Linked DNA regions of Caenorhabditis elegans. The protein of the gene in region 1 interacts with the protein of each later gene in a pairwise test. Each region holds a gene or a part of one and is shown in the gene's direction. Other genes may lie near its edges. The genes, in order: Y39B6A.34, far-7, C53D5.5 and rpl-23A.1.

Region 1 (7,071 bases):
CCATTTTTTGAGCCGTCATAACTCTTTTCTGAAAAGTTTTCAAGAAGTTTCATTATGAAATTCGGTGTTTTTAGACAATTTTGAGTCTAATAAGGCGATTAAAAAAGTCGACTACACCACCTTTAATGTGGTTTTCCCACAAAAAACTACTGGAAATTTGCAGTATTTTGAGCTGATAACGAATTTTTGGGCGCTGCTTAGACAACAAAAACTACAGTTTATTTCATTAAAAACTGGTAAAAATTCTGGAAATTCGAATAGAAACCGATTTTTAAAGTAAATTTTGCCAGAAATCCACAAAAAAATGGCAAAAATCGGATAAAATCTGAATTCGAAGATTTTGGGCACTGCTAAAGCTACAAACTACAAGTTTTGGGCGCTGCCAATGAATTTTGATGCCGAGAATTTGAATTTCTGTTGAAAAAATGAGTAAAAATCTACATTTTTGAAGGTTCATGGTTTTTCACCAAAAAAAACTGCAGAAAACACCGATTTTTAAACAAAATCTCACCGAAAAATATTAAAAATTGGCGGAAATCGGTTAAAATCGGTTCAAGATCCGAATTTTTACATTTTGGGCGCTGCTTAGACTACAAACTACAAGTTTGGGCGCTGCTAATTCCATTTTGGGCGCTGCTTAGACTACAAACTACAAGTTTTGGGCGCTGCTGATCCGAATTTTTTGCAATTTTGGGCGATTTTTCAATTAAAAATGGAAGAAAATCTATATTTTCATTCAAAAAGTGTCAAAATTTTACGTTTTACTCATTTTTAAAGGGATTTTTACAGATTTTCCCAAGAAAAACTGAAAAAAATAGGCAAAAATTGACGAAATTCCACGTATTTTGCACCTTTCGTTGAGTTTTTTTAGGAAATTCTACACACAAAAAACTGTAAAAATTGGGTGTTATTTTGGTATCAATCGATTAAAAACTGCATTTCAACGTTTTGGGCGCTGCTTAGACTACAAACTACAAGTTTTTGGGCGCTGCTAACTACATGAAACCTCGTTTTTTTGCCAAAATTTCCAAAGTTTTTTCAAAAATCGCACATTTTCGCTAGAAATTTCCGATTTTCAAGCCGAAATATGCGAAAATAATGAAAAATCACACATTTCTAGTGTATTTTTTGGAATTTTTAACGAGAAACACACTAGTTTCCTCCAAAATTTCTAACTTCTTAGAATTCTGTGCATTTTCGATGAAATTTCGGATTTTTTGGCTGGCCGCTGCTTAGACTACAAAAACTACAATTTCTCGCATTTCAGACTTCAAGATCTTCAGCAACTCCTTCAACAACCGGTCAGCTACGTCAAAGAAGTGCTCCAAGAGATTGCCGTCTACAATACTGCTCCACCGCACAAGTCTCTGTGGTGCCTGAAACCGGAATACTGTAACTACAAAGTCAACGCACAATCGGAATAATTCCAACTTTTTTTTGGACATTATTATTATTATTTATTTACTATACATCTCTTCTTTTTTAAAAACATGATGAACACTTGTGAATATTGGGGATTTTTGAATTTTTTTTTTTTTGGATTTCTTCGTTGATTTTGGGTTATTTAGCCCAGTTTTCTATTTATTATCAGATTTTTTTTCGTTTTTTTTCGAGAAAAATAGGAAAAAAAAATTGATTTTTTACTTCTTTTTTTTTCAGAATGGTCAAATTTCAAATCGAAAAAAAGACGCTTCTGGGCCGCTTGGGCAAAATCGACACATGGGGCTCCGTGGAGGTTAACCACCAGACCCCATCCTTTCAAACCTACCTACGAGCCGGACATATTCCCCACCTGACATGGGAAGTTGCTGAGAATCAGCTGAAACTCGAACAAACCCACATTTTTCAAATGACGCTCCCAACGCTGGTGTCAAACGCGAAAATTATCGAGAAATTCGGAAAAGGCGCTGCGAAATTTTGTGGGATGCCTGCAGGCGCGGCGGTTCACCTGACACCGTTTGACCCGCTTGGAAAGCTTCCCGGAGGGTATAATGACTCGAAATCCGTCGCGATTTGGACGGCAAACGGAAAAGTTTCGTTGGATGTTAAAATGTGGCGGGAAATTATTAACTCGTTTGGTTGTGGCTCTATTGAGACTCTTGTCGACTATGATACACCGAAAGATGTTGGACAGAAGAAGCTTGTTAAGGCGGTGGATAGGACGAAAACCTTCCAAGAGCAGCTGTTTCAGCAGGTAGCGAAAAAATCAATTAAAAATTTGAATTTTTCAGGGGAAAAAATGAATGAAAAGCTACATTTTAGCATGAAAATGACTTTTTTTGTGAAAAACTGGTGAAAATTTGGTGAAAATCGGTTGAAACCTGGATTTTTTTCATTTTGGCGCTGCTAAGACTACAAACTACACAATTTTGGGCGCTGCTAATTCAATTTTGGGCGCTGCTTAGACTACAAACTACAATTTTTGGGCGCTGTTAATTCAATTTTGGGCGCTGCTAAGACTACAAACTACAATTTTTTGGGCGCTGCTAATTCAATTTTGGGCGCTGCTAAAGCTACAAACTACAATTTTTGGGCGCTGCTAATTCAATTTTGGGCGCTGCTAAAGCTACAAACTACAAGTTTTGGGCGCTGCTAATTCAATTTTGGGCGCTGCTAAGACTACAAACTACACAATTTTGGGCGCTGCTAATTCAATTTTGGGCGCTGCTTAGACTACAAACTACAATTTTTGGGCGCTGCTAATTCAATTTTGGGCGCTGCTAAAGCTACAAACTACAATTTTCTCGATTTTGAACTGAAAAATGACTTTTTTCCAGCTTTTTTGAAAGTTTTCACAACTTTTCTCCGAAAAAATTGCAAAATAATCGGTGTAAAAGCCTGAATTTTACCAGTTTGGGCGCTGCTTAGACTACAAAAACTACAACTTTTTTGTGTAAAAATCTAAATTTATTGCGATTTTCATAGTTTTTACACCAAATTTTCGCAAATTTTCTAGGACGAAAAAGTGAATGGAGAACGAATTGTGTCGCTGGGCGGTGGTTTCAGCAAGTATCATCGGAGGAAATGTGCAGTTGACGTTGGATTGGCTGAAAATATTGCTGGATACACTGTCGAATTTCGCGAATTCACAGAGGGAAAGGAAACTGACGATAAGGAGATGAAAGAGCTCCTGGAGGAGACTTTTGTTCGTTTTTTCACTGAAAATTTGGCTTTTCTGCGAAAAAAAAATAGATGAAAAGAGCATTTTTAACGATTTTTGAGGCAATTTCCGCTGAAAATTCATAAAAATTCCATTGAAAATCGTGAATTCCCTCGAAATTGCGAAAAAAATCGGCAATTTTGGTTAATTTTGAGCGAAAATGTGATTTTGGGCGCTGCTTAGACTACAAACTACAAGTTTTGGGCGCTGCTTAGACTACAAACTACAAGTTTTGGGCGCTGCTAACTACATAAAACTTCGTTTTCGACCAAAATTTCCTAATTTTTTCTAAAAATCACTTATTTCCGATAGAAATTTCCGATTTTCAAGCCGAAATATGCGAAAGTTCACCGAAAATCACACATTTCTGGGCAATTTTTCATTATTTTCCACCAGAAAATCACTAATTTCTTCAAATTTTTGAATTTTCCATAGAATTTCTGCTTGAAAATCCAAAAACCTGAATTTTTGGCGCTGCTAACCACACAAAAAGCACAATTTCCTCGGATTTTTAACTGAAAATCCCGGATTTCTAGCGGAAATGGTCGATTTTTCCCCAAAAAATCATGCATTTTTTTCCAGAGCCCACTTCCACCTACAAAACTCCGATGTATCTCAGGACCTTTCAACCCAAAAACCGTGCTTTTCCTCGTCCAACAAGGAATCGATCTGTTCGACTCGTCATTTCCAGTTAAATTGGCCGAAGAAGGCCACGCGTTCTGTCTTTCAGACGATTTTCCGACGTCTTCGAAATATGAAGTAGTGGATTTCAATAATGAGAAGTTCGCCGACGATTTTACCGCACTTTTCGACGGATGCGCCTGCTATACGTGCACAAAATACACTAAAGGATACCTACAACACCTTCTGAACACCCGAGAGCTTCTGGCTTCGATTTTATTAGTTATTCATAATATGACAGAGTATGATAAAATGTTTAAGCTTATTCGGAGCTCGTTGGAGAATTCTGAAGGATTGTGATTGGTTTTTTCAAATTTTTTTTGTTGATTTTATATACTCTATTCTTGTTATTTTTTCACTTGTTGGTTTCTTAATTTAATTAAACACCTTTTATTCAGCGTTTTATTGCAATTTTCCCGGTAAAAACTCCGGTTTTTTATATATTTCCTATAATTTTTTCCCTATTTCCCCAAAATTCAGCCTAATTTCCCAGATGTCATCGATTTCCTCCTCCTCATCAAATGTCCGAATGGATCGCCGATTCGATTGGGTTGGACCGCCGGATAATTTATCGAAAATTCGCAAAATTATGTGAGAAAATCCTGAAAAATACGCTGAAAATAAATAATTTTCGCAATTTTTAGCGCTGCCGCACGGAAAAGTGGGCGGAGTTTGGTGACGCAACACCTCCGCGCACTTTTCCATTTGTTAACGAAAACTAGATTTTAATCAATTTTCGTCGGTTTTCAGCGAAATTTTCCCATATTTTTTGCCAAAAATCTGTTTTAAAAATTATAATTATTGATTTTCCAGGCTCCGCCGCGTCGATAATGAGTCGGAACTCGAGCGGCAGTATCGGCTGGCTCGGGAAGAGCTGAATCAGTGGAATTCGGATTTTTGGGCCGAACACAATCAACTGTTCGACCGGCAAAAGTCGGATTTTGTCGAGCGAAAGCAGCAAGAGCTTGGAAGACTGGAACACGTGTCGGCGAACGAGCTCAGCGAGTTTTATCGCGATTTTTTGAATGATCGACACGTGGCGATGATGGCCTATAATAAGTGGGTGAAAATGCGGTGGAAATCGGATAAAATTGATTAAAATTGATGAAAATTCGCGAAAAATCGATTAAAATCCATGAAAATTGCTATTTTTCATGTAAAAAATCAATATTTTCAGAGAATGGTACCGCCGAAACCTGCAACTGATTTGGCCAGCACTCAAAGTCAACGTTGTCCGATTTTTCCGAATGGCGAGGCGTTAATTTGTAGATTTTTTGGGTAGTTTTAGTTGATTTCGTTGCTTTTTCCCCGATAAAAATGGGTTTTTTCTTGATTTTTTATCGTATTTCTTGAATTTTCAACGGGTTTTCCACCCTAATTTTACCTTTTTCAACCTTTTTTCCACTTTTTTGCCAATTTCCGCATTCAGATGGTCGCTGGAAAACGTACTGGAGCCGCGAAGGGCTCACGCCACAACAAGAAATATTGGAGAAAGGGAACGAATATCGATGATATTGAGGATTCGATTCGTAAGTTTATTTTCGAGCGATTGTCGCTGAAAAATCATCGAAATTTCCAGTATTTTGACGAAAAAACCAAAAATTTCCATTAAACATGGTAATTCTTTCAAAATTGCGACAAAAATCGGCGATTTTGGTTAATTTTGAGCGAAAATATGATTTTGGCGCTGCTAAGCTAATTTTAGGCAAAAATTCTCAATTTTTTCACGTTTTTAGGCTAAATTTCACTAATTTTTCCGATTTTCAGACATCAAATCCCGTCAGGCAGCAACTGGAGGTGTCATTTCTGAGATGAAAGACGAAGATCTGTTCATTGTCGATCGTACCGCCACCGCCAACAAGCCAGTCGTGCCGAAACTGACGAAAAAGCAGCAGGCCGCGTTGGAAAAAATCACCAAAAACATCACACAGGAGCATGTCACACTTCCAAAACCATCCACCACATCGAAAATTCTGAAAAAACCCGCCAAATTGCCACGTGGCAACGCGATTTTGGCGCTGAAAAAGGGGCCAAAAGCAGCGGCGCCGGCGGCGAAAAAGAAGAATTTCGACGTTTGGACGACTGATTTGACGCCGAAGATTCCGAAATCTAAGCTTGAGAATCAAGAAGCCGCAGAGCATTTTCTGAAAGTTGTGAAGAAAAAGCAGCCGAAAACGCCAGGAAAATCGATTACAAGTCTGCTTCCAGCAGTACAAATTGCCGAAGGAGGTGCTTCTTATAATCCAGAAAGTGCAGAATATCAGGAATATGTGGCGAAAATTGCCGGAGAAGAACAGAAATTGATTGATCACGAGGCGAAGATTAAAGCCGGAATTGAGCCACAGTGGGAGAAGGTGTGTGTAGGCGTTGAGAAGGAAGAAATTGGCTGGAAATTTGAGAAAAATTGGAGAAAATCCGAGAAAAATGGTCGAAAAATCGAAGAAAATGGCCTAAAAATTGTTGAAATTTAGATTTTGGCGCTGTTTAGACTACAAAAACTACAAAAAGCAGCTGCTACCAAAATTTTTTGGAGCGATTTAAATGGAAATTTAGCGAAAATAGAGAGAAATCCAACTGATTTGCTGAAAAAATTGGCGAAAATCGCAGAAAATAGATGAGAAACAGGAAAATTAGAGAAAAAATTGGCGAAAATTGGTGAAAAACCAGAGAAAATATGAAAAGTCGACGAATTTGGCTCAAAAATTGTTGAAATTCGAGTTTTATTGCTCTGAAAATTGCATTTTCATCTAGAAAATTTGGAAAATAGCGAAATTTTAACCAAAAAAATCGAGAGAAACTTGAATTTTTGCTCATCTAGAGCCTAAAAACATGAAAATTGTATTTTTTTTGGACGATTTTCAGCCAAAATCGGCAATTTTCAGGTGAAAAACAGGAGATTTTGGTCAAATTTTGTCCAAGTACCAACAAATTTTAGATTTTGGGCGCTGCTTAGACTACAAAGACTACAAAATCATGGTTTTTTACTCATTTTTCTTGATTTTGAACTAAAAATTGACTTTACTCCAGGTTTTTTTTGGTGAAAAATCAGTGAAAATCTAGATTTTCTCTTAAAAAATTCCCTAAAAGTGGCGTTTTTCACAACTTTTCCCGAAAAAATTGCACAAAAATAGGTGTAAAAGCCTGATTTTTAACATTTTGGCGTTGCTTTGACTACAAAAACGAAAAATTGAAGAAAAATGATGAACAATCGAAGAAAATGACCTAAAAGT
Region 2 (7,380 bases), on another chromosome or scaffold:
GTTTTTTTGGAAAGGTTTTTTTTTTGAAATTCGGTCATTTTGGCACCATTGAAGTAGTTTTAACACTGTCCCCACCGGCGTTACTCCACTTTTAAAATTTAAAAACCAAAAATTCAGCCAAAACAATTGTCTTAATTTTAAAAAGTTTGTACCGAAAATATCAAAATTGATATTAAAATTTTGTACCCCCGCAAGAATGTTTTGGAAAAATTAGAATTTGAGCTGGTTTGAGCAGCATTAAATTTAAAATCTCAATTTTTAAGACATAAACTTACATATGAAAGAATCGTCTTGCATGTGAGTCACTTTTCATTTCGTTGTTAAAAATAATGAAAAATAAGATCAAGATAATCAATAATCCGATTCCAATAATCACCAGACAGAAAACTGAAAATTAAGTTTCAAAAACCTTAACAACTTCAATTTTTGGATTCCTACTCTGAAAATGCGTGATAACTGGAATATCGACTTTACTCCATTGGACCAATAGGAAATAGAACATTGCCACGTGGATTAAAGATGAAAGAGAGTGCAGGGACAGGAGTACATTCTTTTTTCTGAAAAAAATTCTGAAAAACGTTTTCTCAAAAAATGTTTATTAAATTTTTTTTTCTGAAATTACAAAATCACTTACAGAGGATCCAATACTGGAAATTTTTCCACAGAATCTGGATTTTCAAGCATTTTTTCTCAAATTTCGAATTTTTTGGGAAAACAATGAGTTCAACTATCAGACATTTTATCAAAGGAAGAGTAAATAAATAAATAACACCCGTTCCAGGAGGTGTTCACCAGCTGATTACCGACTGATAAGGAAAATTGTGTGTTTTTGAAATTGAAATTTTATGAGCTATAATTTCAAAAATTTTTTAAATTTTTAAAACGGGTTTGTGCCAGCCACGTTGTTGGTATTTTTTCCAGAATTCTAATTTGTAGAATTGCAAAAAAAGTTACCAAAAATTATGGAAATAAGTCGAAAATTACCAAAATTAAAACAAACCAATTCTGGCGAGGTGACCAATAACCGACGAGTAATGGACATGGCCAATGTCGCTGATTGGTCAGAGGATTTTTTTCAAAATTTCGATCAGTTTTTGTTAACCTAGCTAATGCTCTCGATAATTTGAGTTTTCTGACCAAAAGTTTTGTCCCAACTGTCCCAGATGCGCCAATTTGAGATTCAATACTCAATTCCCAATTTCAATTCTACGTTTCAGGTACCAAATCTGGCGTCCTCAATTGCGGCCTCTATATCAGTTGCAACTCATATGATTCTTCATACTTTTGCACTTTTTTGGAAGTCACCATTAATAAAATAATTTCAATTGATGAGAAAAATAATAATGTTCAAAGATTTTTTAGTATTGAAATCAAATATTGCCAATGTCATAACAACATAACATTTGAATAAATTTTATAAAAAATTATACTTTCCAAAAAACCGACATGGAGTGCAGAACTAAATGAATGCCAACAGAGACGGTAGTTGCACAGGATGAGTAGAGGATTGGGATCTGAAAAATTTTCTGACGAATTTAATTATATAGGTTGACAAACCTGGTAAGTTTTCCAATGAGATATCACAATTTGCGTGAAGAGCTGATAGGCGGTGGATAAGGCGATATGTACCAGTGGCCAACTGGAAAATGGTGAAAAGTTTTATTTGGGGTAGCACCAGTGAGGATTTTGTCTAAATGCACTTATGATGAGCCAAAATAACCGAATATCATAATAAAACACTTCTAAAATTTTCAAAACGTTTTTTTGGAAAGGTTTTTTTTTTGAAATTCGGTCATTTTGGCACCATTGAAGTAGTTTTAACACTGTCCCCACCGGCGTTACTCCACTTTTAAAATTTAAAAACCAAAAATTCAGCCAAAACAATTGTCTTAATTTTAAAAAGTTTGTACCGAAAATATCAAAATTGATATTAAAATTTTGTACCCCCGCAAGAATGTTTTGGAAAAATTAGAATTTGAGCTGGTTTGAGCAGCATTAAATTTAAAATCTCAATTTTTAAGACATAAACTTACATATGAAAGAATCGTCTTGCATGTGAGTCACTTTTCATTTCGTTGTTAAAAATAATGAAAAATAAGATCAAGATAATCAATAATCCGATTCCAATAATCACCAGACAGAAAACTGAAAATTAAGTTTCAAAAACCTTAACAACTTCAATTTTTGGATTCCTACTCTGAAAATGCGTGATAACTGGAATATCGACTTTACTCCATTGGACCAATAGGAAATAGAACATTGCCACGTGGATTAAAGATGAAAGAGAGTGCAGGGACAGGAGTACATTCTTTTTTCTGAAAAAAATTCTGAAAAACGTTTTCTCAAAAAATGTTTATTAAATTTTTTTTTCTGAAATTACAAAATCACTTACAGAGGATCCAATACTGGAAATTTTTCCACAGAATCTGGATTTTCAAGCATTTTTTCTCAAATTTCGAATTTTTTGGGAAAACAATGAGTTCAACTATCAGACATTTTATCAAAGGAAGAGTAAATAAATAAATAACACCCGTTCCAGGAGGTGTTCACCAGCTGATTACCGACTGATAAGGAAAATTGTGTGTTTTTGAAATTGAAATTTTATGAGCTATAATTTCAAAAATTTTTTAAATTTTTAAAACGGGTTTGTGCCAGCCACGTTGTTGGTATTTTTTCCAGAATTCTAATTTGTAGAATTGCAAAAAAAGTTACCAAAAATTATGGAAATAAGTCGAAAATTACCAAAATTAAAACAAACCAATTCTGGCGAGGTGACCAATAACCGACGAGTAATGGACATGGCCAATGTCGCTGATTGGTCAGAGGATTTTTTTCAAAATTTCGATCAGTTTTTGTTAACCTAGCTAATGCTCTCGATAATTTGAGTTTTCTGACCAAAAGTTTTGTCCCAACTGTCCCAGATGCGCCAATTTGTGCCCCCAAAAGAATTGACCAATCACCAACGCGTACTGGGCGTGGCCAACACTGCTGATTGGTCAAATTGATATTTTTTCCATATATCCTGCATACCTAGTCAATATGGGTGTCGTGTTTCAGCAATTTTTTTAGGAAGCCTAAATTTTTTTTATAGACTGTCCTGCGTCTGCGAACCCATCGGGGACACTGTCCCCTCGGGGGTTTTTCTCGAAAAATACTTCAAATTGTTAATTTTTGATGGTTTTCAAGTGTTTATACATCATCAAATCTTCACTCAACCATAGCAGAATCCAAATCGAATCACCAATTTCCAAAATCTGCCTTGTTTGTCATTTTTTTCGGTCAAATTTCGGTCACCGCACGTACCGCCCATATTTGTTCAATTTATTGGAAAGAAGGATTATATAAAAAGAACTGAAGAACAGTCGATTTCAGTAAAATCAACAGAAGAATAAAAAAATGTTTTTCGCTCGATTTACGTGCCCAGTAACCGGTTCTTTTTATGTTTGGTGTGGCCGTTTTGTCACATTTTCACGTTTTCCGTCCTATCACAGGACTCGCTTATCACTAAATGATCTTTTTGACCTTTTCTCTGATATATATTTATAACTGGAAAGAGTAAATAAAAAGTCGTAGAAATTTTCAGAAAGACTACTGAAAAATGAGCGTTGCTTCACTTCCAGAATGTGTCAAAAGTAAGTTAAATAGGTTATAAGGCATTAAAATTGTAAACTGAGCAATTCATTTTGCACGATTAGACAACTTTTTAGTAGGCAACTTCTTGATAGCATTCTCAGTTTAAAAATTGGTAACATTTTTTTCCTTCAAAATTTTTTAAACGTGGAGTAGCGCCAGTAAGGAAAATGTTGAAAACTACTCCTATGGTGCAAATCTTTGCCAAAAATTACCATAAAACTTTTCAAAAACTCTTTGAAAATTTTTTTTATTTACTGTCAATCAGTGATAGTTACTCAGTTTTTTCCACTAGTAATGTTGGAAGACGACCAAAAAAAAAAAGATTTTTCCTACATTTTTTATATTTTAGTTTTGTTTTAATTATTTGAATTGAAACATTGTAGGCGTCTGAACATGCGACAATGCTTTAGATTTCCTCAAAAGCTCATATTTTTCAAATTTTGGAAATTTGCCAAATAAATTTTTTGAAAAATAATTAAGTTAAACTCTAACTGATATTTACAGGAAAATTGCAATGATTTTACTATTTGATATTCAACAACTCATTTAATTTACAAAAAAACCATAATTTCAGTAATTCTTTGATAATTTTCAGACTTTTTCCCAACTGAACAACTCGAGTTCTCCTCATCAATTACCGCTGACGAGAAGCCAGTTCTTCATGAGGTGAACTACCACATTCATCACTTTTTTGGTAATAAAAGTTGAAGCAATACATAATTATAGGTATTCCAAAAGCATTCATGTTTCTCACAATGTGGTGAAATGATTGACGAGGTCTCGAAAAAGCATCCAGAATTGGGAAAACGGTTGGCAACTGTGTTGGAGGGGAACAAGAAACGTTTGGATGGTTTGAGCCCGGCTGCTGTTGAGTATGCCAAGAAGGTAAGGAGTTTGGCGGAAAATGCTGCTACAATGCGAATAAAACGTTTCTACAATTCAGAAATTTTGAAATTTGAGAAAAACCTCATTTTAGAAATCATTTTTAGTACTAGTAATAAATACTAAAAATCTTGCAGCTCATACACATGGTAACCACCACCTTGTGCTCCTTAACCGTCGGAAAACCAATTGATGATGCAGATGCAAAACGTCTTCACCAGGAATTCCAAAGCCTATCTTCAGAAGATCAGGCTGCGCTGAGAAAGAATAATCCGGATATTAAATTTTGATTTTTTTTCTGATGTTTCCTCCAGTAAGGTATTTTGATTAAAACTGCATAATGAGACATTAATAAAAAATATAATATTCTTATGCGCACTATACATTTGGATACATGCGACGTGAGTGATGCCGTGAGGCCGGCGCGGCCACCGTTGCGGCGACCTTATGGAAGCCCTATTTCGGGGTGCGGCCTGATTTTCTTAACAAACATTATGCCCATGATATAGGCGTGGTCGGAGCAGCCCCACCTATGTTTTTGAGCTGTGGCTGAGATGGTTGACTTGGCTAAATTTCTGGCAACAACTAGGCCCCGCCGACGTTTTGGGAAGGATTTTCTGTCCAAAACGCATCTCCTGCCTATTTTCATAACATGGAATTTTGATAACTTTCCTGAAACCGTAGTTTTTATAATTTTCAAATAAAAATTCAGAATATCTTCATTTGACTGAGGTATATATGTACAATAAAAAAGTCATCGGTTTCAAAAACCCATTGAATTTAAGCTTCCGCACCTGCCTCCTGAAAGCTTAATTAGGCATAGTCGGTGCACGCATCGCTGAAGTTGATCTTTTCTGAATACTAATTCTAGAATTTCCAGGATACGTTACAGCAACAGAAGCTGATAATAGTCCACTTGACACTGGTGGAAAGATCCGATGAGGTGAGGATGGTGACGTCATCGGTGGTGATGACGTGGTGGAGAGTTGAGATGAGGCTCTACGACGATGCTGGGATGTTGCCATTGCTTCGCGGAGTTTGATGGCACGGAGTTGTTGGGAAAGATGGGTTACGGTTTGGTTACGGTCAGAGAGTTCTTCGTTTAGCTGGCGGATTCGGTCACTCTGAAAATTGTTTCGATTAAAAAAAATTGCTGCAAAAATGTTTTGGAGTTTCAGAATTTTTGAAAGTTTTTAAATTTCTCGGCAATTAAAGAAATGAATTTCCAAGAAGTTGATATTACATGGTTATGAAAGTTTTGTTCATTATTTTTATAAGTTTACAAGCTCAAAGCCACAATTTAAACTAATATTTCCACAAGGAAAATAATGTGACTTTACAAATTTCGAATCTTGTAAAGTTTTTATTTGAAAATTCTATAGTTTTTTGAAAATTTGGTATTTAAAATTGAAATTTGTGTAAAGAATTGTTCCGGAAATCTGGAAATTTTGAATATTAAAAAAAAGTGCTGGTCTGAGAAAGAAAAATTCCAAAAAAATCTAAAATTTTTGCCAAATTTCAGAAATTAAAAACATATTGTCTTCAATGTCAATTTAAATAGTAAAAAATATGTGTTTTAGACTCCGCCCACAAAAAGAGCGTGGCTAAAAAAAACTTACCTGAATAGTAATTTGTTCCTGAAGTTTTTGAATAGTCGTTGAAACTTTTTTTTCTAAATTCTTGGTATAAGCTTCCTTTTCCGTAATTACTTTTTCCAGTTCAGCAATTTTATCCGCTGAATCATCATCCCCGTGCAAAGTTTTTCGTTTTTCTTCCCGTAACTCATTTCCGAGGCGATTAATTTCATTATGAAGTGATTTCAGCATATTTGAAGTTTCATTTTGTAAAAATTGGATTTGTGATTTTTCATGTTTCCTCCATTCTGCATCGCGTTCTTTCAAGGCTTTGTCGATGCGGATTTCAAGTTCTTCAAACTGAAATTAAATTTTGTTTTGAAAATTAACTTTTTAACATATGGCTCAACTTTGTACTTTTAATATTTGTATATTTCAAAACACGAATTTGACCCCAAAACACTTTGAAAAATTACAGTTTGACCTACCCACTAATTTTTTGCGCGGAAGTTTTTAGAAAAATTGAAAAGTGCATTTTGCTTGAAATGTTTTTTTTTCGACATTTTGAATTTCGGATCAAGAAAAAATATGTTAAAAATATTCTGGAAAGTATGCCGATATGAAAATTAAATGTCTTACATCAGAAGAACCCTTTGCCCTTCCAGTCGTGGGAGGAATCGATTCAGAGCTCGACGATGAAAATGAGCATCTATTTGGGTGTTGGGGTCCGTGAAAGGATGCTGTCTGGGACGGAGGGCGACTCACAATCACTGCAGTTGACATTCTGGAATAATTGGAAATTTTTGTGGAGTATGGAAATGAAATCGAATATGAAAAAAAATCAAAGCGAAAAAAAACTCAATTTGAAAATTTGGAAACATGAAAACATTTTGCAAATTGCAGTAAGTTTAGTAAATGTTTAAAAATTGAAAAAAAAACTAGTAGTTAGAAAAAGACGTCTAGAGAAAGTTGTTCAAATTTTAATGAAAAATGAGATCGAATTCTCGAAGCTCTTACTCCAACTGAACTCCCAACAATTCTGACCTCAGCTACCTAGACCACCGCCTCAAAACTGTCCTAAAAGTTCAAAACCAAAAAACCCATTGAGTCAGCTGACTTCATCTTAGTACATCCCCCATCTTTCAAACACACACACAAAATCGAACAACTTCTCCTTGAAAAGAGAGGGAAAAAGTGGAAAAAGATGAGAGGTAGAGATACCAAAGACCTCCTGATGCAGAAGAGTAGACATAGAGAAAACGAGGCAAGGATTCAGCTGCAGAGAGGGAGG
Region 3 (11,209 bases), on another chromosome or scaffold:
GAGGAGTCCTCGAGCTGATGGATCATTGTTTGAAGAGCGAGGATCTTACCGGAAACTACATAGCCCTGCTTATTCTTCGCGGATGCCCAATAATTTTTGGAAACAGGCTGGCCCACTTCCTTCCAACCCTCAAAGTTGTCTTGGAAAAGTGCATGGCTACACCGGATTTGCAAATCAAGGCCACCGCCGTCCGTGCTGTTATCGCTTTCGCTGTTGATAATGATGAGGAGAAGGATGTTGTCAGGCTTATGACCTCTCTTGTTCCAAATGTTCTTCAAGTTTGCAATGAAACCAGCGACGAGGATGATTCAGATGGACCACTCGGAGAGTTCGCCGAGCTCGCCTCTTCTCTGCCAAAATGCCTTAACACTCATATGTCTCAGGTTCTTCAAGTCACTCTTGCTGTAAGTAATTTAAATGGCCCAATTTAAAAATTTCATTTTTTCAAATTTCAGATTGCTGGAAACAAGGAAAAGAACGAGATGGTCCGTCAGAACGCCATCGAAGTTATTTGCTCGTACATGGAATCCGCACCAAAAGGACTCAAGAAATACGCACCAGGAGCTCTTGGACCAATTCTCGAGACTCTTCTTTCATGCATGACCGAAATGGATGACGATGTGCTCAATGAGTGGCTCAACGAGATCGAAGAGGAAGAAGACTATGAAGAGTAAGGATAAATTTTTAGTTTTTCTTCAATTAAATTATTTTTCAGTATCCCAATCATCGCCGAAAGCGCCATCGACCGTGTTGCTTGCTGCATCAACGGAAAAGTGATGCTCCCAGTGTTCCTTCCACTTGTCGAGAAGCTTTTGACCAGCGAAGACTGGAAGATGAAGCACGCGGCTCTTCGCGCGTTCTCCGCCGTCGGTGAAGGGTGCCAAAGATCTATGGAACCACACATAGAGCAAATTATGGCTCATATCACCAATTACGTCAATGATGCTCATCCAAGAGTTCAATACGCGGCTTGCAACGCCATCGGACAAATGTCTTCTGACTTCGCTCCAACTCTTCAGAAGAAGTGCCACGCCGCCGTCATACCAGCTCTTCTCGAGTCTCTTGACAGAACCGATGTTCCACGTGTCTGTGCTCATGCCGCTTCGGCTCTTGTCAACTTTGCCGAGGAGTGCCCAAAGAGCATCATTGGACAATATCTTCCATTCATTCTTCAGAAACTCGAAAATGTGCTTTCCGCTGTGTTCAATCGTCTCGGAGACAAGAGATACCAGGTTGTCGTTGAGAACATCGTCACCGCCATCGCCTCCGTCGCTGAAGCCGCCGAGGAGCTCTTCAAGGAACATCATGCTCGCCTCATCCCGAACCTCGTTCACATTCTTCAAAACGTCGGAGAGCTCAAGGAGTTGAGAGGAAAGACCATCGAATGCATCTCTCTCATCGGATATGCTGTCGGAAAGGAACAATTCCACGCTACTGCAATCGAGATCCTGAACCTTCTCGGAGACGGAATGAAGGATTTGGCTATCGATGATCCACAATACAGCTACATGATCAGCTCATGGACTCGTTTCTGCTCTATTCTTGGAGCCGATTTCGCACCATTCCTCCCAGTTGTCATGGATCCAGTTCTTCGTGCCGCTCGTTACCGCCCAGACTTCAATATCTTCAACAGTGAGTGTTTTTTAGTTTTACGTGTTAAAAAAATATATAAATTTCAGACGAAGATGTTCACGAAAACGAGGAAGGAGTTGAATACCACGGAATCGGAGGAGAAAAGACTGTCGGAATCCGCACCAGCGGTCTTGAGGAGAAGGCAACTGCTTGCGATATGCTTGTCGCGTTCGCCAAGGAGATGAAGGAGGCTTTCATGCCATACGTCGTCGACGTCTACGAGCTCGCCATCAAGAATCTCGATTTCGGACTTCACGACGGAGTTCGTACGGCTTCCGCTGAAATCATGCCATGCTTGTTGACCTGTGTTGAGAAGCAAGGATTGGCTGACAAGCGTCGTTTGTGGTGCGAGTTCTTGAAGGCATTGACGACCTCTATGGAGGAGGAGGACGATGTCGAGATTCTCGCCTCGTTCATGACGACCATCGGATCGTGCATTGAGGTTATGAAAACCGAGGGAATCGCCGAGGAAGAGGTTCAACTCATCATTTCGGTGCTTCTCAAGCAACTTGAAAACTACGGAAAGAGAATGAGCGATCGTCCAGTTGAAGATGAAGATGACGATGATGCTGAAGCTAAGGAGGAGCTCGATTATTTCATGGAATTGGAGGCCTCATGCCTTGGAGCCATCTCTGATTTGACTCACTCTCTTATGAAGGAGTTCAAGGGAACTATCTTCGAGGGAATGATCAACGTGTTCAACTGTGCCATTCAACTCATCGAGGGATCCAAACAATACTTCGAGAGACAATGGGGAATGTGCCTTCTCGATGACGCCATCGAGTTCGGTGTCGGACATATGCCAACTCGCTTCCCGAAGCTTATTCCAATAATGTACAAGTTGTTGGGAGATGAGTATCCTGAAGTGAGACAAGCAGCGAGCTACGGTTTCGGAGTTATGGCCATCAACTACCACCAGATCAGCGACTACCGAAACGAGATTTTGAGCTGTTTGGAGCCACTGGCCGCCATGATTCAACGAGAGGACGCCCGAGCCACCGAGGAGAGCACTGTTGCCACGGAAAACGCGATTTCTGCATTTGCCAAAATCATCGGCAATGTGCCACTTCCTGCTGAAGCCTACGGAAAGGTTGGTTTTAGAATTCAGTTTTTCAAGAAAAAAGTTCCATATTATTTCCAGGTCGTCGAGATGTTCCTGAGCTGGTTGCCAACATATTCAGACACCGAGGAAAGCCCCTACATTTACACGTGTCTCGCCGAATTGTTTGATAAACAAGACGCCGCACTTTTTGGACCAGAAAATCAGAATCTTCCGAGAATCTTCCTTGTTTGTAAGTTCTAATCTAAAAAAATCCGTAACTTATTTTATTTTTATTTGTATTTTTCAGGCTTGCTCTCAATCGCCAACGATGCTTTCAACGACGACGATAGCGGCAACCAAACCAAGCAAAGAATTGTCACAATCCTGAAGCAAATCTACGCATCGTTCCCACAATTCGCGCAGCAAGATGGAATCGACGAGCACCTTACCAGTGTCCTTCAACAAACTCTCAATGGGCAATAATAAGGACTTTTGTTGTGTTTTTTTTTTTGCTGTTATCTTCTCCATCTTCACCGAAATGAATCTTGTTCACTGTTAATCGCTTGTTTCGCGGCTATCCTCCTATCATCATCATCAGTTTCTTCTTTTGTTCCACCACTTCTCCCCGATGCCACATTTTCTCTAATTTTTATTAGTTACCTATCGACTTTTTTTCTGTTGTGTTGAATATTATCCTCATTTTCAAATCTACTCGTTAGTTGTTACAGTTAAAGTTTTTGAAAATAATTTCAGCCAAAACCTCCACTTTCTCCTATACTCCAAATCTAAAAGTCATTCTTCCGTAGTCCTCATTGTTCCCCCTTCCACCCAACTCTCTCCCACCACAGAATATCTCTTCTGTCACTTGAAGACTATCCTCGATAAAGAGAGCTATTGGCGGTTACCCCCTCTTCTCTTCTCTTCTCGTTTGTCATTGGAGCGCGCTTACACGCAGCAAACTGTAGCTCTTATCTAGTTTTGCGATAGAATTCCGTTATCGTGAAAAGTTGCAATTTTGACATTCTCGTCCTAAATTTCCAATTGACAGCGCTTTGACTTTTTCTATGATTTTTTAATTCATACTCAATTCTGAATAATGACTCCTGAAGGGCAATCGACGAGGTGAGAGAAAAATCGATAATGTTAAAAATTCGCGGGTTTTTCGAGAAAATATTATACGTTTGTGAAAAAAATTCGAATCGAGACCCAAACGAGGCGGCATGAGTTTCTGAAAAAAATATATATATGGATTCAAGATTTAAAAAGTGCATTGTTTTTAAATTTATAATGCTGGAAATATTACCCAAATGCGAAAATACGGTACCAGGTCTCGAAACGACCAATTTTTTAAAAATAAAAACAAGCGTGCGCCTTTAAGGGAGTACTGTAGTTCTCACATTTGCAAATTCTTTCAAAAAAATCATGATGCTTTGAAAACAACTATCGATGAAAATTTAATTTTTTGAAAAAATTGATACAACTTTTTTGGTATATGAAAAACGGGCAATATTTTCGGAATTTCGAAAATTAAATTAAATTTTATGAAAAGTCGATAAAAATCGATACATTTTTGTTTGAAATTGCACAAATTCAAATTTTAGAATCTAGAAATCTATAAATTCAAATTTTTTAATCCAGAAAATCGATTATTTTCTCAAAAAATTGAAAATACTCTTCAGATTCATCTTTTTTGTGGAATATTCAAATTTTTGGGAAACCTCTGATTTTTGAAAATTCCATTTTTAAATCAGAATTATTACGGCAACACAAAATTCTGAGAATGCGTATTGCGCAACATATTCGACGCGCAAAATATCTCGTAGCAAAAACTACAATAATTCTTTAAATGACTACTGTAGTGTTTGTGTCGATTTACGGAAATCATTCATTAGTCGATAAATTGTTTTTTAAAAAACACAAAAAAAATGAAAAAACCGAAACCCCGTAAATCGACACAAGCTTTACCGTAGTGATTTAAAGAGTTACTGTAGTTTTCGCTACGAGATATTCTGCGCGTCAAAAATGTTGTGCAATACGCATTCTCAAAATTTCGCGGTCTTGTAATAATAGTGATCATGCCACTCAATACATCAAATTTGACGCGCAAAACTCGACTTTTCAGCAGTAACCCACCTCCTGTTCAATACTATAACACGTTTCCGGACGATGATAATTTACCGCCAGAATATGGACCATTTGATGAAGTTGAGCCGCTTATCGAGGCCGAGCAACCCATGAAAATCCGTACTTTAGTCGCGGCGGTCGGCTTAACGGTTCTCGTATTCACGTTGTTAATCTCAACGGTCGCATTCGCTTCATTGTATTTTCATTTACTAATGCAGGTTTGTTAGAAAGCTAGGCCACGAGGGTGAAAACTAGTCCGCAGTCGGTTCATGGCTGGCCGATTTGCTACGTGGCCGATAAAAATAAAACTCGGCAAGGTTTCCAGAACAATGCCCGCCTACCCCGTTGGCCTGGACCATCACTTTCTCCACTCGGAAAATATTCGAAAGCCGCCGTCGCCGCCGACAACGAAATTTGCTCAGAAATCGGTCGGAATATTTTGCTGAAAGGCGGAAATGCGGTGGATTCGGCAATCGCCGCACTTTTCTGTATCGGTGTAATGGATACACATTCGGCCGGAATTGGCGGCGGACATTTTATGACTATTTATAATGCGTGAGTTGTTGGTCTCGCCACGAATTGGAGCGGAACATCAATAATTAAAAAAAAAGATAATTATTAATATTGATTTTTCAACTAAAAATCAATAATCGAAAAGGAAAACAAAGAAGAAAAATTTTGGAAGAAAGAATGATTTTCCTAGGCCATTAAAAACATTTTTGCAAACATCACATTGTGGCCTCACTGGTTTCTGGCCTTCGTCAAAGCGTTTTTCTCGCGCTCCATTGACAATCGTCTACACGACGCTCCGTAAATTTACCCCGGTCGTGGCCTAGTCCAAACGGGCTAACTCGGCAAACTCTTCCATTTCAAAATATGAGGAAAGCCAGAAGCGCGTGTGGCCTTTAAACTTCTGCCGTGGCCTAAAAATATTTTCAATGACTTAGAAACCTCTAAAATTCTTCCAGAACGACAAAAGAGTGTACGGTAATCGATGCTCGGGAGATTGCTCCGCTCGCCGCAACAGAGGAAATGTACCGTGACAAATGGAATCAGTCGAGAATCGGATGGAAGGCGATTGCGGTGCCCGGAGAGCTTCACGGCCTCCGGACTGAATTCGAGAGATTCGGAAGTGGAAAAGTCGAGTGGAGACAGTTGTTGAAACCAACTATTGATTTGTTGGCTGAAGGTGGGCACTTTTTCTGCGAGCCTAGAATATTTCTGTTGGCCTAAAAAACTCCTAACGGCGTAGAACATTTTTGATGCTCAAAAACTTTTCTGGTGGCCGTTTTTAGACCGGCCAACAATCCCTAGGGGTAACGGATAACGGGGGCAACGGATTTAATATTCCCCGGGGACAACGAAAAAGGGGGGGGGCAACGGATTCAACGCTGCTCGAAGGCAACACAACAGGGGTAACGGAAATGGAGGCAACAGAACAATAATCCCTGAGGGCAACAAAAAGCGAGGCAACGGAATATTGAGCTCTTGGTAAGTTAAATGTTGAACTTTTTGTAAAAATCAGTTTAAAAGTTTCTCCAATTACTGTGTACGTTAAGATGGGTATCACAATAAGTCTCACCACGGCGTGTCTCACCACGATGGGTCTCATCACGATGGGTCTCTCAACGGAGGGTCTCGCCACGATGGGTCTCACCACGATAGGCCTCGTCACGATGGGTCTCGTCACGATGGGTCTCGCCACGATGGGTCTCGCCACGATGGGTCTCACCACGAAGGGAGACGGGCCCAAATTTTTTCAGGAGGAGAAGACGAGTAGTTTATTACATTACTAAAAATTTCTAGACCATCAAAAAATTTCTAGGTCACCATAAAAATTCTAGGCCATCATAAAAATTTCTAAGCCATCATGAAAATTTCGAGGTCACAAAATAAGTAACTATGTTATCGGTTCATGTTTCTAGGCCATCCTAAAAAATTCCAGGCTACCCAACGTCCCATGCCCTTGCAAAAGCTCTCAACCAAAACGAGCACCAAATCCGCGCGGAGCCCACCATGAAAAACTTCATCAACCCCGAAACTCAGCGTGTCTTCCAACCAGGAGAGCAGATAAAAACCCGCCAAAACCTTCTAGAAACATTCCGGCTACTCGCAAACTCCACAGATCCCATCGCCGACTTTTATACAGGTCGGCTCGCCGAGCAACTCGCCAAAGAGTTCGAAGCCAACGGTGGGATCATCCGGCTTCAGGACTTTAAAAATTACAAATCAATAGTCCACGACTCAAAAAATGTGATCTACACAAAGCTGAAAAACGGGCGCGGAGTCTGCGGCCCGCCGCCTCCCTCGGGCTCAGCGGTGGCTCAGGCAATACTTAACGTGATGGATGGCTTCGAATATAACATGAAGTCGTTCAACGAAATCGCAACGTTATACCATCATTTTCTGGAATCTAGCAAATTTAGTTATGCGGCTAGAAGCTGGCTTGGCGACCCGCAATTCGTGGCAAACGCCACGGAAATCGCCAAAAATATTACGTCAAAAGAGTGGGCGGATTGGGTTAGGTCGAAGATCACAGACACGACGCATCCTGATGATTACTATGGAGGATCGTTTGAAGCACCACCGCAGGATCATGGAACAACTCATGTATCGATTATCGATGCAGACGGCAATGCAGTTTCGGTTACGTCTACCATTAACTTATAGTGAGTTTGGCTTTTTTAAAGGAAATTTTTGGTGGCCGAACTTCGAAAACTCGGCCAGCAAGTGAGAAGTTAGTCCTCAGTCGACAAGCAACTGCAGTTGATAAAAATGAACAAGTTCGAGGTCGTCACCAAAAATTTTAAACTAATTAGGCCAGGGGATGATTTTAGGCAGTCTTAATAGTAAATTGTTTACCACCTGGATTTTATACCGAAGTGATTTCATAATCTGGGCCACGTGTATAATTTCTAGACCATCAACCAAAGTTTATATACGCCCACCTGAAATTTGGAGGCCATCACCTTTCAATTCTAGGCCATCAGTTAAAAACATTTTTAGGACGACGTTCAATTTTTAGGCCATCAGTTCAAGTTTATAGGCCACAAACTTAAATTTCTAGGCCATCACTTTGACTTTTTCGGATATGAAGACATTTTCTAGGCCACCGCCAAAAAAACTCTTCCACCATCTCAAATTCTTCCAGCCTGGGTGCCCTAGTATCCTCCGAATCGACGGGAATTCTCTGGAATAACGAAATGGACGACTTTTCCACTCCCGGTCATCCGAATTTCTTCGGTTTCCCACCGTCTCCCGCCAATTTCATTCGCCCTGGAAAACGCCCCATGAGTAGTCAAAGTCCATTAGTGATCTTTAACACAAAAGGGGCGGAGCTTATGGCGGTCGGCGGAGCCGGTGGATCCACCATTATTTCGGGTGTTGCTGGAGTTGCACTGCATGCGTTATGGCTGAAAGCAGATGTTAAACAAGCTGTTGATGCTCCAAGGATGCACAATCAGTTACAGGTAGAGAATTACACGCGAAATTTGATTTTTTTTTTGTTGGAAAAATCGATAATTGTCAAAAAGTTGATTTTTTAAAAATAAAAATCAATAATTTTCAGAAAAAAAACTTCTGAATTTAATTTTCAATCAATTTTCGACTTTCACATGAAATATTTTTCAATCAATAAAATCAAAACCTTTCCCAATTTCCTTATTTTTTAGCCAAATTACACGTGGTACGAGCCAAACTTCCCGAAAGCCTACGTGAAATCCCTGATCGATCGTGGTCACGTAATGAAGGCAGTGAACAATTTGACAGTTGTCACCGCCGCCGAACGACTTTCCGACGGCCAAATCTATGCGAACAGTGATTTCCGAAAAGGGGAGGAGTCAGCGCCAGCGGGATATTGATTATTATGTTCATATTTTAAATTTTGTGACTTTTTTGTTGATTTTTTGTAGAAATCGGGTGAAATTTGAAAATAAATGTTCTAGTTTTCGCACTTGTGTTAACACTTTTTTACTGGTCTTGTGGCCGCGTAAATAGGAAACTCGGCCATCGATTTTTTAGAACATTTTTTATCTTAAGAAAAACTCTTTTCATAATGTTGTGTATTCGAAGGCGAGACGAGGAGGAGAAGACGAGTAGTTTATTACATTACTAAACTAAGGAATAAATAAGTTAGTTCATAGAGTTCACGTTGTACGATCTTCTTAGCCACGTCGTGGGTCAATACACGTTGATACCCAACACATAAATAGTAAGTTTAGTCAGGGTTTTTCAGTTTTCAAGCCAAAAATTTGTCTGTAAAAATTCAAAAAAGGAAACAAAGTTTTTTTTTAAATTAAAATTCTTCATATAAATTCAGAGTTTTAAAACTTCAAACCCGTAACAATGAACGAGGTACAAATGAGACAAGGTGAAACATATTACACGTTCGTCAAAATTTTTTTTCGAGGAAAGTGTAATAATACATGAACCCATAATAAAACGCGATGATGTTGACGATGATGATGATGATGCAGAGCAAAAAATGATGACAGAATTATGAGAAAAAAACGAATAAAATTTCAAAATCCTAAGCTTTCGGGCTCTGTGAGCCATGGAAAAATGAGCCAGAACACAAAAAAAGGAAAATATGGAAAAAAGCACCAGAAAATTATAAGACACGGGGATTTTTTGACACATGGAGTAGAAGAAAAAAAAAGAAAGAATTGAGCTAGATTCCTTTAAACATCCGGCAGATTCCATGACCATGTTAACCGTAATTCGTTGAGTCGAGTTGTGATATTTCGTCCTGTATCCCGGCATGCGACCAAATATTTATTATTTTTGGACCATTGATTTGCGAACAGTTTGTTGACCAGTTTATCGCAGAAGACCTACAAAATTTGGATTTTTTTTCAATTTTTACACAAAAAAATCAAGAAAAACTTTGTTTTTTAGAATGCAAAATAAATGTATAAATTCTAGGAGTTTGAACTTTTTAATTAATTTTTTCTTTTACGTTTTGAAAAAAAGGAACTACAGGCCTGTCCGGGAAATTGTAAAGTTGAAAAAAATTTTCCTAACAATTTCACAACTTTTTTCCTATTACAAAGTAAATAGGTAAATTTTTTTCTGATAGTGGAAGTTAAATTCTACAAAATAAACTCCTTTCAATCAAAAAAAAAATCACATTTCTGACTGAAAATTCTCAAATTTTCAGTTTTTCTTTAGAAAAAATTCGGAAAATTCACTTTTTTAAAAATTTTTTGTCAGTCGTTCGTTTTTTGAGAATTAAAACTTTTAGGAAATTTCTATATTTTTTTTGAAAATTCAATTTGAACATCAGAATGTGATTTTCGATTTTTGGAAAAATCAAAAAGGTTTTTGTCGAATTTATTGGTTTTTTATGAATATTCATCAATGCTGTTGCTTTTTTAGCAATTTTTCACAGGTGGACGAACTTTTGCAAACTATGAAAAATTCGGCCATCTGGAAAAAAGCTCGTTTTTTGCCGATTTTATTGATTTTTCACAATTTTTCCAAACTTTTTCAACTTTCAAGCTTACCTCCAAATTCCCGTTACTCCTCGACGAGCACACCATATTAGAAGTGCATCTCGCCTCACAGTCTCCAATTTTACAATCATTATCACTTTCACACGGACGTCCTTTTAGGAGAGAATCCAATTTCGATTTCGTGTACACCATGTCACCGTCCATTAGAGCGAATCTGCAGAAAAATTGAGAAATTTGGATTTTTAGGGGTTTTCAAAATTTGAGTTTCCGGTTGGATTATCATCAATTTTTTTGTTTAAAAAATCATTAATAACTTTTATTCGAATTACGTTTCGAATAATTGAAAATGTAGATTTTTTCGGAAAAAAAAATCAAATAAAAAAACAGGCAGACCTACCTTTTCGGATAATCTGCTGATAACCCGAGATTATCAAATCGAACATCACACCATTGAAGGGGTTCGTCGAGAAATTCGTATAAGAGCTTCAGGGTTCCCATGACATGCACCAAGATTTTTGCCTGTAAATTTGGATTGAGAAAATTTTTTTTTTAAAATCAAGTTAAAAAAAAATCCCCACCTTCAAATTCGTATAATACCCTTTCATCTTGAACGCCACCAGTGACTCAGTCTGATACATATGTCCACACGTCCCAATGAGCTTCGGCGTGACACGTGTCAACGGTAACACTCGGAACAGGATGAATTCAGGCTGCTTTAACAAAGCCCACAAGGATCGTCGATCCGCTTTCGACATGGCTTCTCCCTTGGTCCGTAACAGTGTCGGCCACACAGTCTCCATTAAATGCCGTCGATAGTGTTTCGGCCATCCGAGTCTCAGCTCATCATTCACCATATCGACTACTCGATCCGAGAACTCTGCATCCGTCAGATGGTCTTTCGGCTCGTCGAATTGATCCATAAACGGTTTTGTGCTTTTATAGACAGCAATCTGTCCGC
Region 4 (6,803 bases), on another chromosome or scaffold:
AAGTCAAAATCAATATGTAAAACACTTATGAGCCTTGACGGAGAGCGCGAAAATTGGGAGAGACAACGGCGAAAAATGAGAGTGTAAATAGACGCAACCATTCCCATACGGCAGTGGTGACACATAGTGGGGGAGAGGAAGAGGGTCGTAAATGCGCTCCGCCGGCCTCGCATGCGGTCCCGCAGCGCGTTGTTTCCCATATTGACACAGCTCGAAATGTGTGTTACCGTAGGTCATCAACCTGATGATCACTCGTTGCCTAAAAATTTTTCGCTTTTTTTTGCGTGGCTTTTATCAATTTTCAATTTTCAATGAAATTTTTCGAAGAGATATTTTATTTTTCTTTTTTAAAATTAAATTTTTCAGAGATCGCGTCACATGGAATGTTCACCGGCACAATTTTCAATAGCTTATTCACATTACCGCTGGTCATTTCACAATTTGTTCCACCACCAACGCGTCCAGTAGATCTATGGGATCCGTTTAAAACAACGACAACACCATTTCCCCATGGCGGAGTAAACCAAGTAAGTATTTTGAATTTTTTAAACTATGTTTACCTAGAAATTTAAACTTTTCTAGTAGTTATTATCAAAATGATAGAAAATAGAATGTTATAAAATAATGATGTAAGATTATTTTAAAGAAACTGAATTGATTATTTTCGCTAAAAAATTGAGCCAATTTATTATTCTTTCTCTGAACTCTGCAAAAGATGTTTCGCTCTATTTGCCTAAATGCATATCGATTTGCGTCGTCACCTCACCTAACATTTGTGTACATTGCAGGGGTTAAACCGAGATGAAGTGGTTGTTCGACTGCCTCTGGGAGACATTGTTGGCAAAGAGGTTCATCTCCACAACCTGCCCTGGACAATTCACAAAGATCCAACCGAAGAGCTTCCCAAGGACGGAACACACTTTGATCCGAATCCACTGAAGCCCAAAAACAATATCACAGTCTTCACATTTCTAGGAGTGCCCTATGCAGAACCACCGACGTCTCAGAGAAGATTTAAGGTACACTTATTCCGACATATCATAAATTGAATAACTCATTTTACATTTTTACAGCCACCACAGCAGCTTACCGTCTTTCCAGGGAAACAACCGTATTTGGCATTCAATTACGCGGCTTCATGTGCTCAAGATGTTGAAAAGTCGCCCAGTCCATTTGTAGATCATCCTTATCCATTCATGGTCGATGAAGATTGTCTTTACTTGAACATTTTCTCTCCTGACGTAAGAAGTTTTATTGAATTTTTCTTATGAAAAATAATTATTTAATTTTCCAGATTTCCAAAAATGCACAAACCACTTATCCGGTAATTGTGTTCTTCCACGGCGGGAATTTCCAAACTGGGTCTGCAAATGAGTGGCCAGCGCATGGACTTGCTTCTCGAGGAATGGTTGTAGTAACTGTCAACTATCGTCTTGGTGCTTTCGGCTTCATGAGTATGGGAGATTCTGAAACCGGCAACTATGGACTACAGGATCAGAGACTAGCCTTGGAGTTTGTGAAAAACAACATTGTAACGTTTGGCGGAGATCCACAAGCTGTCACAGTTGTCGGGCACGATGCAGGAGCAGCTTCGATCGGATTTCACATGCAGTCACCGTATTCCAGGCACCTCTTCAGATCGGCGGCCACAATGTCCGGAGCGGAAGTTTCATATCACTCTTACATTGGAAAAACTGCACTGGCTTTCAACAACACAATGAAGCTGGGACGCTACGCAGGATGTACACAAGCTGTTGCACAACATCGTTGGGATTGTATTCTGACAAGATCAACCGGAGACATCATTGATGCAACAAGGAACATTCCTATCGAGTACAACAGATACTTGTTCATGCCAACGGTGGATGGAAAATATCTCCCTGGAAACCCGCTATGGACTCTCGTCAACGCGCCGAGTGGGGAGACTTCAATCATGAGTCCAGTACCAATGCTTATTGGAATGAATGCTCAAGATGGCAGTGAAGTCGTGCTGGAAGACAGAAGACTCGGAGAGTTTAGTCAGTTCAACGATGTCGACCACGAGTATTTGAAAAGTTACTCGCTGGAATATTGCTACCGTCATAACTACTCAATGAATCGGGAAGCTACCGCCGACGCGATCCTCTCCAAATACACTTTCTGGCCTGATAGAGCAGCTGCTTGGGCAATCAAGGAAAACTTTATCCAATTTGCTACCGATGCTTACTACACTGCTCCGATGCAACTCTCCTCGCATCTCCACAGTTCTTCGGGATCACGAGTTTTTCAATATGTAAATAATTACAACTTCAGTCGCCAGCATCCAAACCTGCTATTTATTCCTGACTGGATGGGAGTTTGTCGGGATTGTGACTTGTATCTGATGTTTGGCTATCCGTTTTTACCGGACGAGCTGAGACCGATTGGTCTGCGAGGCATAAATTTTACGGATACAGATAGAAACGCGAGCAGGACGTTTTCCAACATCATACGTCGATTCAGTTATCATCAGAACCCAAATTTTCAATTTGATGGCAGCTGGGCAGCATACGAACCAAGGCGTCATTGGTACATTAACTTTAACTACACACATGAAGAAGACTGGAAGATTCCTGGAACTCTTGCAAGAGACTATCGCTATCAAGATGTTGCATTCTGGAATGAGTACATCCCTGCATTGGTGAACTACATGACAACGACGTTTTCCCCTGAAAATGTTGCGTACCGACGAGAAATCATGGTTTTCAAATGGATCACTGGAGTCAACGTCATCATCATCGCTCTACTGATAGTACTTGCTGGCGCGTTTGGATATATGGTTTGGGGAAACAAGGAGGACGAGGAGGCGGCTTATAAAGCAGAAAACCACCAACTCGTCGAATACCGGGACACTGGTCACTCAGTGTCGGATGCTACTATTTCTTCACGGACTCGATCACCAAGATCTAGAATAACCAATCTTTAACTTTCAAAGTTTGTAAATAATGTATAATTTAAATTTTTTAGAGTACTAACATAATAATTACTAACTTCTGTGATCAGAATCTCATTTCACTTACTTTTTATGTTTAGTACGAGTTTTAAACCATCCAATTGTGATCTCTATTTTTTCGGAGCCTTATCTTACTGATGCCTTATTATTATCATAATTGTTATTGCATTTTCAAAAAGAAAACATGTATTGTCTAATGATTTTTTTAATTGTTCATTTAACTGGTTTTTTGAGCCGCTGTTTATCTTTTTTAACTCAATTTTCCAGTCATTTTCACTCTAATCAATTGTTCAGGGTAAAATGGCTCCAAGCGCTCCAGCTAAGACTGCCAAGGCTCTCGACGCCAAGAAGAAGGTCGTCAAGGGAAAACGCACCACCCACAGACGTCAAGTCCGCACCTCCGTGCACTTCCGTCGCCCGGTCACCCTCAAGACCGCCCGTCAGGCTCGGTAAGTTATTTCAGTCCAATTAAAAGAACTATTTAAAAAGTTGAATGATTTTAATTATCGATTTTCAGTTTCCCACGCAAGTCTGCCCCAAAGACCTCCAAGATGGACCACTTCCGCATCATCCAACACCCATTGACCACTGAGTCCGCCATGAAGAAGATCGAGGAGCACAACACCCTTGTCTTCATCGTCAGCAACGACGCCAACAAGTACCAAATCAAGGACGCCGTCCACAAGCTCTACAACGTCCAAGCCCTCAAGGTTTGTTGGAAGCATCTTAATTTCCAGGCAAAAAGAAATCAAAATGCTTGTTTTTAGGTCAACACCCTCATCACTCCACTTCAACAGAAGAAGGCTTACGTCCGCCTCACCGCTGACTACGATGCTCTCGACGTTGCCAACAAGATTGGAGTTATCTAAATTGTTTTCTTGTTCCTTGTTTGTTCAATAAACAATTTGTTATTAAAAATGTTTGCTGATTTGGTAGGGAAAGAAATACTAATTGTAAGAGCAGTAGTTATCATACATTTCATGAAAATCACCCTGATTTAAAATTAAAGCGCTAGAAATGGTTGTTTGTTGAGCCTAAAAATACAACAATATGTTTTTTGATTCTAAAAAATTATTGACTTAAAAAACTACTTTTAAAATGAGGGCATGTAATACACAAGTACCAAATTTCGTTTTTTTTTTCTCACCCATTCTACTTCGTACTCTTTTTTTTGAGTGTTTCACGCGATGAGACCGTTTTGAAAATGTTGCACTAACTAATAAGCAATATTGTGCCATGATAACTTCAGATTTTTCATTTCACAACTCTAGATTTGTTGTTGTTCTTGTACAATTTTGAGCTGTTGCCATATTTCAAAGAATATCCTAAAGAACATGAGTGCAAAACTCTTACAACGATAAATTGTTCATTTTTTTTATTTTTTTGAACATTGTAAGCAATTTTTTTTAATGACAAATACTATGAAATTAAATGAAAAATACAATTTATTACAAAAAAACACTGCAACTGGTTATTCATTCATACATTAAAATAAATATTGAGAGATCAAGAGTAATGCGAAAAATTTCGAAAAAAAACATGATATCTGGCAAAAACGTGTTTGAGATCAAAAGTTATTAACCAGAAGTGATTGAAAAAGATAATGGATGAAAGGAGTTTGCATGAAAACAATTTTCTGCAATATTACTACAAGTTTTCACAATTCTAACCGGAAGATGAAATTAAATTACTGTTCTCAGGACAGTTACTCGGTGTATGGCGGTGGGGGATCACGCATCAGTGCAATAATTAGATCTTCTTCGTGATTTGTTCGTGGTCTGAAAAATAAATAATAAACATCTGAAATATTCACAGGTATTTTTACCTTTTATTTCGCATTATTATTCTGGAAAGACTTCGTTCTAACTGTCTATCTCGGATCACAGCTATCAATGGATTTGCGACACAATGAACAGAGAATGCCGCAACTTCAATCCCCATAATTGAGTTATACTGGTCCTGAAGTTGTGTTCCAATTTTGTAATCTAACAATAACATGATTATTTACCTTTTCCTTGGACTCCCAGGCAACCATCATAAAAATTATAATAAATGATAAACTATTCAACAGCAACCATAGTGACGCTGTTGCGCAGTCCTTCTTTAACCGTACTGTTTGACTATTTTCCTACAAAAATTTCAATACTCAAATGCAATTTTTCGATCCCTTACCTCTGGATTAAGACGTTGTGATATGATTAGCTGGATGAGATTGAGCGGATGAATAATCAAATTGAGCACAAGGAATACGGATAGAAGAGCAAGATGAAAAGGCACTGCTAACACAAAAGATCTCGAGAGGCGGATTAGGAAAAAGTCGGATAGAAGCAGTAACGTTACGAGAAGCCATGTTGAGCCGATTAATCGAGATAATTGAGACCTGGAAATGTGTCGATGGGATAATAAATTAGAAATGTATAATAACAGTGAAATTCAGTTAATTCAAAGTACTAATTTTAGTTTCAAAATTTTGAAACATTTCTTGGTTTTGAGGAATTATTTTAAAAAATAATCACAAATTAAATATTTCTAAGACTGAGAAACAATGTCTTTATTTATGTTTTATACTTATTTTCGAGTTTTTCGAATACTTTCAATTTCTCTCATAAAAATGGTATTTAAGTATTTATTAGTTGAAAAATGTTACACTTAAGCGAGCTCGTCTATTTTTTCAATGAACTGTTTTTTTTTCAGTTAACAAGGCTCTGCGGTAACCGGCATTTTGTCGTAATTTCAAAAGTTACTATACTTTAATTGAAAGAATGTCGATAGCCGACTTCTGAAAATGCCAATTGCCAAAAACTTCCAGCATCTAAATAGTGAATTTAAGTCTACTTACTTTGCGTTATTTTTTAAATTTGCACAAAAAAGTATTTGAATAATAAAATGACACTGAAGTCTGCCATATTAAAAAATTATTGTTCTGGTTATTCCAAACCAAGTTTTTTTGGTCAAGTTTTGGTGTATCTGATTAATGAAATGTGACAAAGATTTGCATATGCCCAATTTATTTTGAGTCACCTTCCCTACTTTTGATAAGAAAATTTTATTTTTTGAGCGTAGTATTTATCAATGCATATAATTTTCAAAATGTAACAAAAAAAATACTATATAACTGTGCTAAAGAATAGTAATTAGTTGACCCCTTGACTAAACAACAAGAGAAGGGAAGGAATCTTTTATGTAACAAACAAGGAAAGTTTCATGTTTCTTTTTGGAAAACTTTTTAGCGTGGACGACGACGGGCACTAATGAAAATCTCGAGAGACTCTTTTATGTGACGCATACATGGGAAACATGTATGTGATGTGACATTCGGTGCATTTGCCCTTTTTCATATTTTAATTTAAGGAAATTTTTCAGGAAAAGTGAGGAGTGCACCTGATTTGCTCTCAGGGGCAAAAACCCTAAGCTTCCCCGAAAGCAATAAACTAACCTCGATAGATGATAGTTGTGTCGCGCGAGCGCGTGCACAAATCCAATTGTCAGCAAGGTCAGCAAGCTAATAGTCGAGTTCAACAAAATAGCAGTCGTCAAAGCCGGAAATTTTTCCAATTCAGCGAACGAACGAGACTTCATGTCGACTAGCTGGAAATGACAGAACGTTGAAATTTTGGAATTTGAAGATGAATTTTCGATTAGCTGGATAGAAGACTGCAATGTTCCATATATAAATATTCATAATTATATTTTGGAGGTATCTTGTTAATTTAAAATTTCCATCAAGATCAAACATTGAAAGAAAAATGTTTCCCAAATTTTTTGAGCTTAATTATAACTAACTGTACATATTCCTGAACTGTCATACCCTACTGTTTGCCATCCAGAACAA

The links.
Region 2: the proteins of Y39B6A.34 (region 1) and far-7 interact in a two-hybrid assay, tested with the Caenorhabditis elegans proteins (one large-scale study listed by BioGRID).
Region 3: the proteins of Y39B6A.34 (region 1) and C53D5.5 interact in a two-hybrid assay, tested with the Caenorhabditis elegans proteins (one large-scale study listed by BioGRID).
Region 4: the proteins of Y39B6A.34 (region 1) and rpl-23A.1 interact in a two-hybrid assay, tested with the Caenorhabditis elegans proteins (one large-scale study listed by BioGRID).

What each region holds. Positions count from the first base shown.
Region 1 is NC_003283.11:18,996,686-19,003,756, forward strand, and holds Y39B6A.34 (COA8 family protein Y39B6A.34, mitochondrial), read left to right. Parts: upstream 1-4,332; 5' UTR 4,333-4,334; coding exon 4,335-4,432; intron 4,433-4,654; coding exon 4,655-4,900; intron 4,901-5,018; coding exon 5,019-5,103; 3' UTR 5,104-5,171; downstream 5,172-7,071. Other genes in the region: gtf-2F2 (General transcription factor IIF subunit 2), read left to right, coding at 1,268-1,424; tgt-2 (Queuine tRNA-ribosyltransferase accessory subunit 2), read left to right, coding at 1,661-2,194, 2,957-3,145, 3,743-4,141; nol-53 (Ribosome biogenesis protein NOP53), read left to right, coding at 5,271-5,370, 5,609-6,195. UniProt on the Caenorhabditis elegans protein: May be required for cytochrome c complex (COX) assembly and function, COX being the terminal component of the mitochondrial respiratory chain.
Region 2 is NC_003280.10:316,224-323,603, forward strand, and holds far-7 (Fatty Acid/Retinol binding protein), read left to right. Parts: upstream 1-3,565; 5' UTR 3,566-3,598; coding exon 3,599-3,632; intron 3,633-4,228; coding exon 4,229-4,299; intron 4,300-4,359; coding exon 4,360-4,518; exon of another isoform or gene 4,519-4,652; coding exon 4,653-4,805; 3' UTR 4,806-4,887; downstream 4,888-7,380. Other genes in the region: K01A2.9 (MiRP K channel accessory Subunit), read right to left, coding at 276-387, 439-557, 635-684; K01A2.12 (MiRP K channel accessory Subunit), read right to left, coding at 1,425-1,514, 1,558-1,639, 2,034-2,145, 2,197-2,315, 2,393-2,442; K01A2.10 (CCDC92/74 N-terminal domain-containing protein), read right to left, coding at 5,325-5,639, 6,135-6,449, 6,729-6,872.
Region 3 is NC_003279.8:303,349-314,557, reverse strand, and holds C53D5.5 (Gamma-glutamyltranspeptidase 1), read left to right. Parts: upstream 1-3,767; 5' UTR 3,768-3,770; coding exon 3,771-3,796; intron 3,797-4,796; coding exon 4,797-5,016; intron 5,017-5,123; coding exon 5,124-5,353; intron 5,354-5,766; coding exon 5,767-5,987; intron 5,988-6,743; coding exon 6,744-7,467; intron 7,468-7,949; coding exon 7,950-8,268; intron 8,269-8,469; coding exon 8,470-8,658; 3' UTR 8,659-8,747; downstream 8,748-11,209. Other genes in the region: imb-3 (Importin N-terminal domain-containing protein), read left to right, coding at 1-404, 456-670, 716-1,632, 1,680-2,722, 2,774-2,924, 2,982-3,157; C53D5.1 (FAM69 protein-kinase domain-containing protein), read right to left, coding at 9,478-9,630, 10,303-10,465, 10,649-10,770, 10,830-11,209.
Region 4 is NC_003284.9:4,711,913-4,718,715, forward strand, and holds rpl-23A.1 (Large ribosomal subunit protein uL23A), read left to right. Parts: upstream 1-3,265; 5' UTR 3,266-3,271; coding exon 3,272-3,420; intron 3,421-3,488; coding exon 3,489-3,681; intron 3,682-3,738; coding exon 3,739-3,840; 3' UTR 3,841-3,888; downstream 3,889-6,803. Other genes in the region: Neuroligin-like protein glit-1, read left to right, coding at 384-527, 789-1,019, 1,074-1,241, 1,295-2,944; F55D10.4 (G_PROTEIN_RECEP_F1_2 domain-containing protein), read right to left, coding at 4,677-4,749, 4,797-4,930, 4,980-5,099, 5,144-5,351, 6,408-6,559. UniProt on the Caenorhabditis elegans protein: This protein binds to a specific region on the 26S rRNA.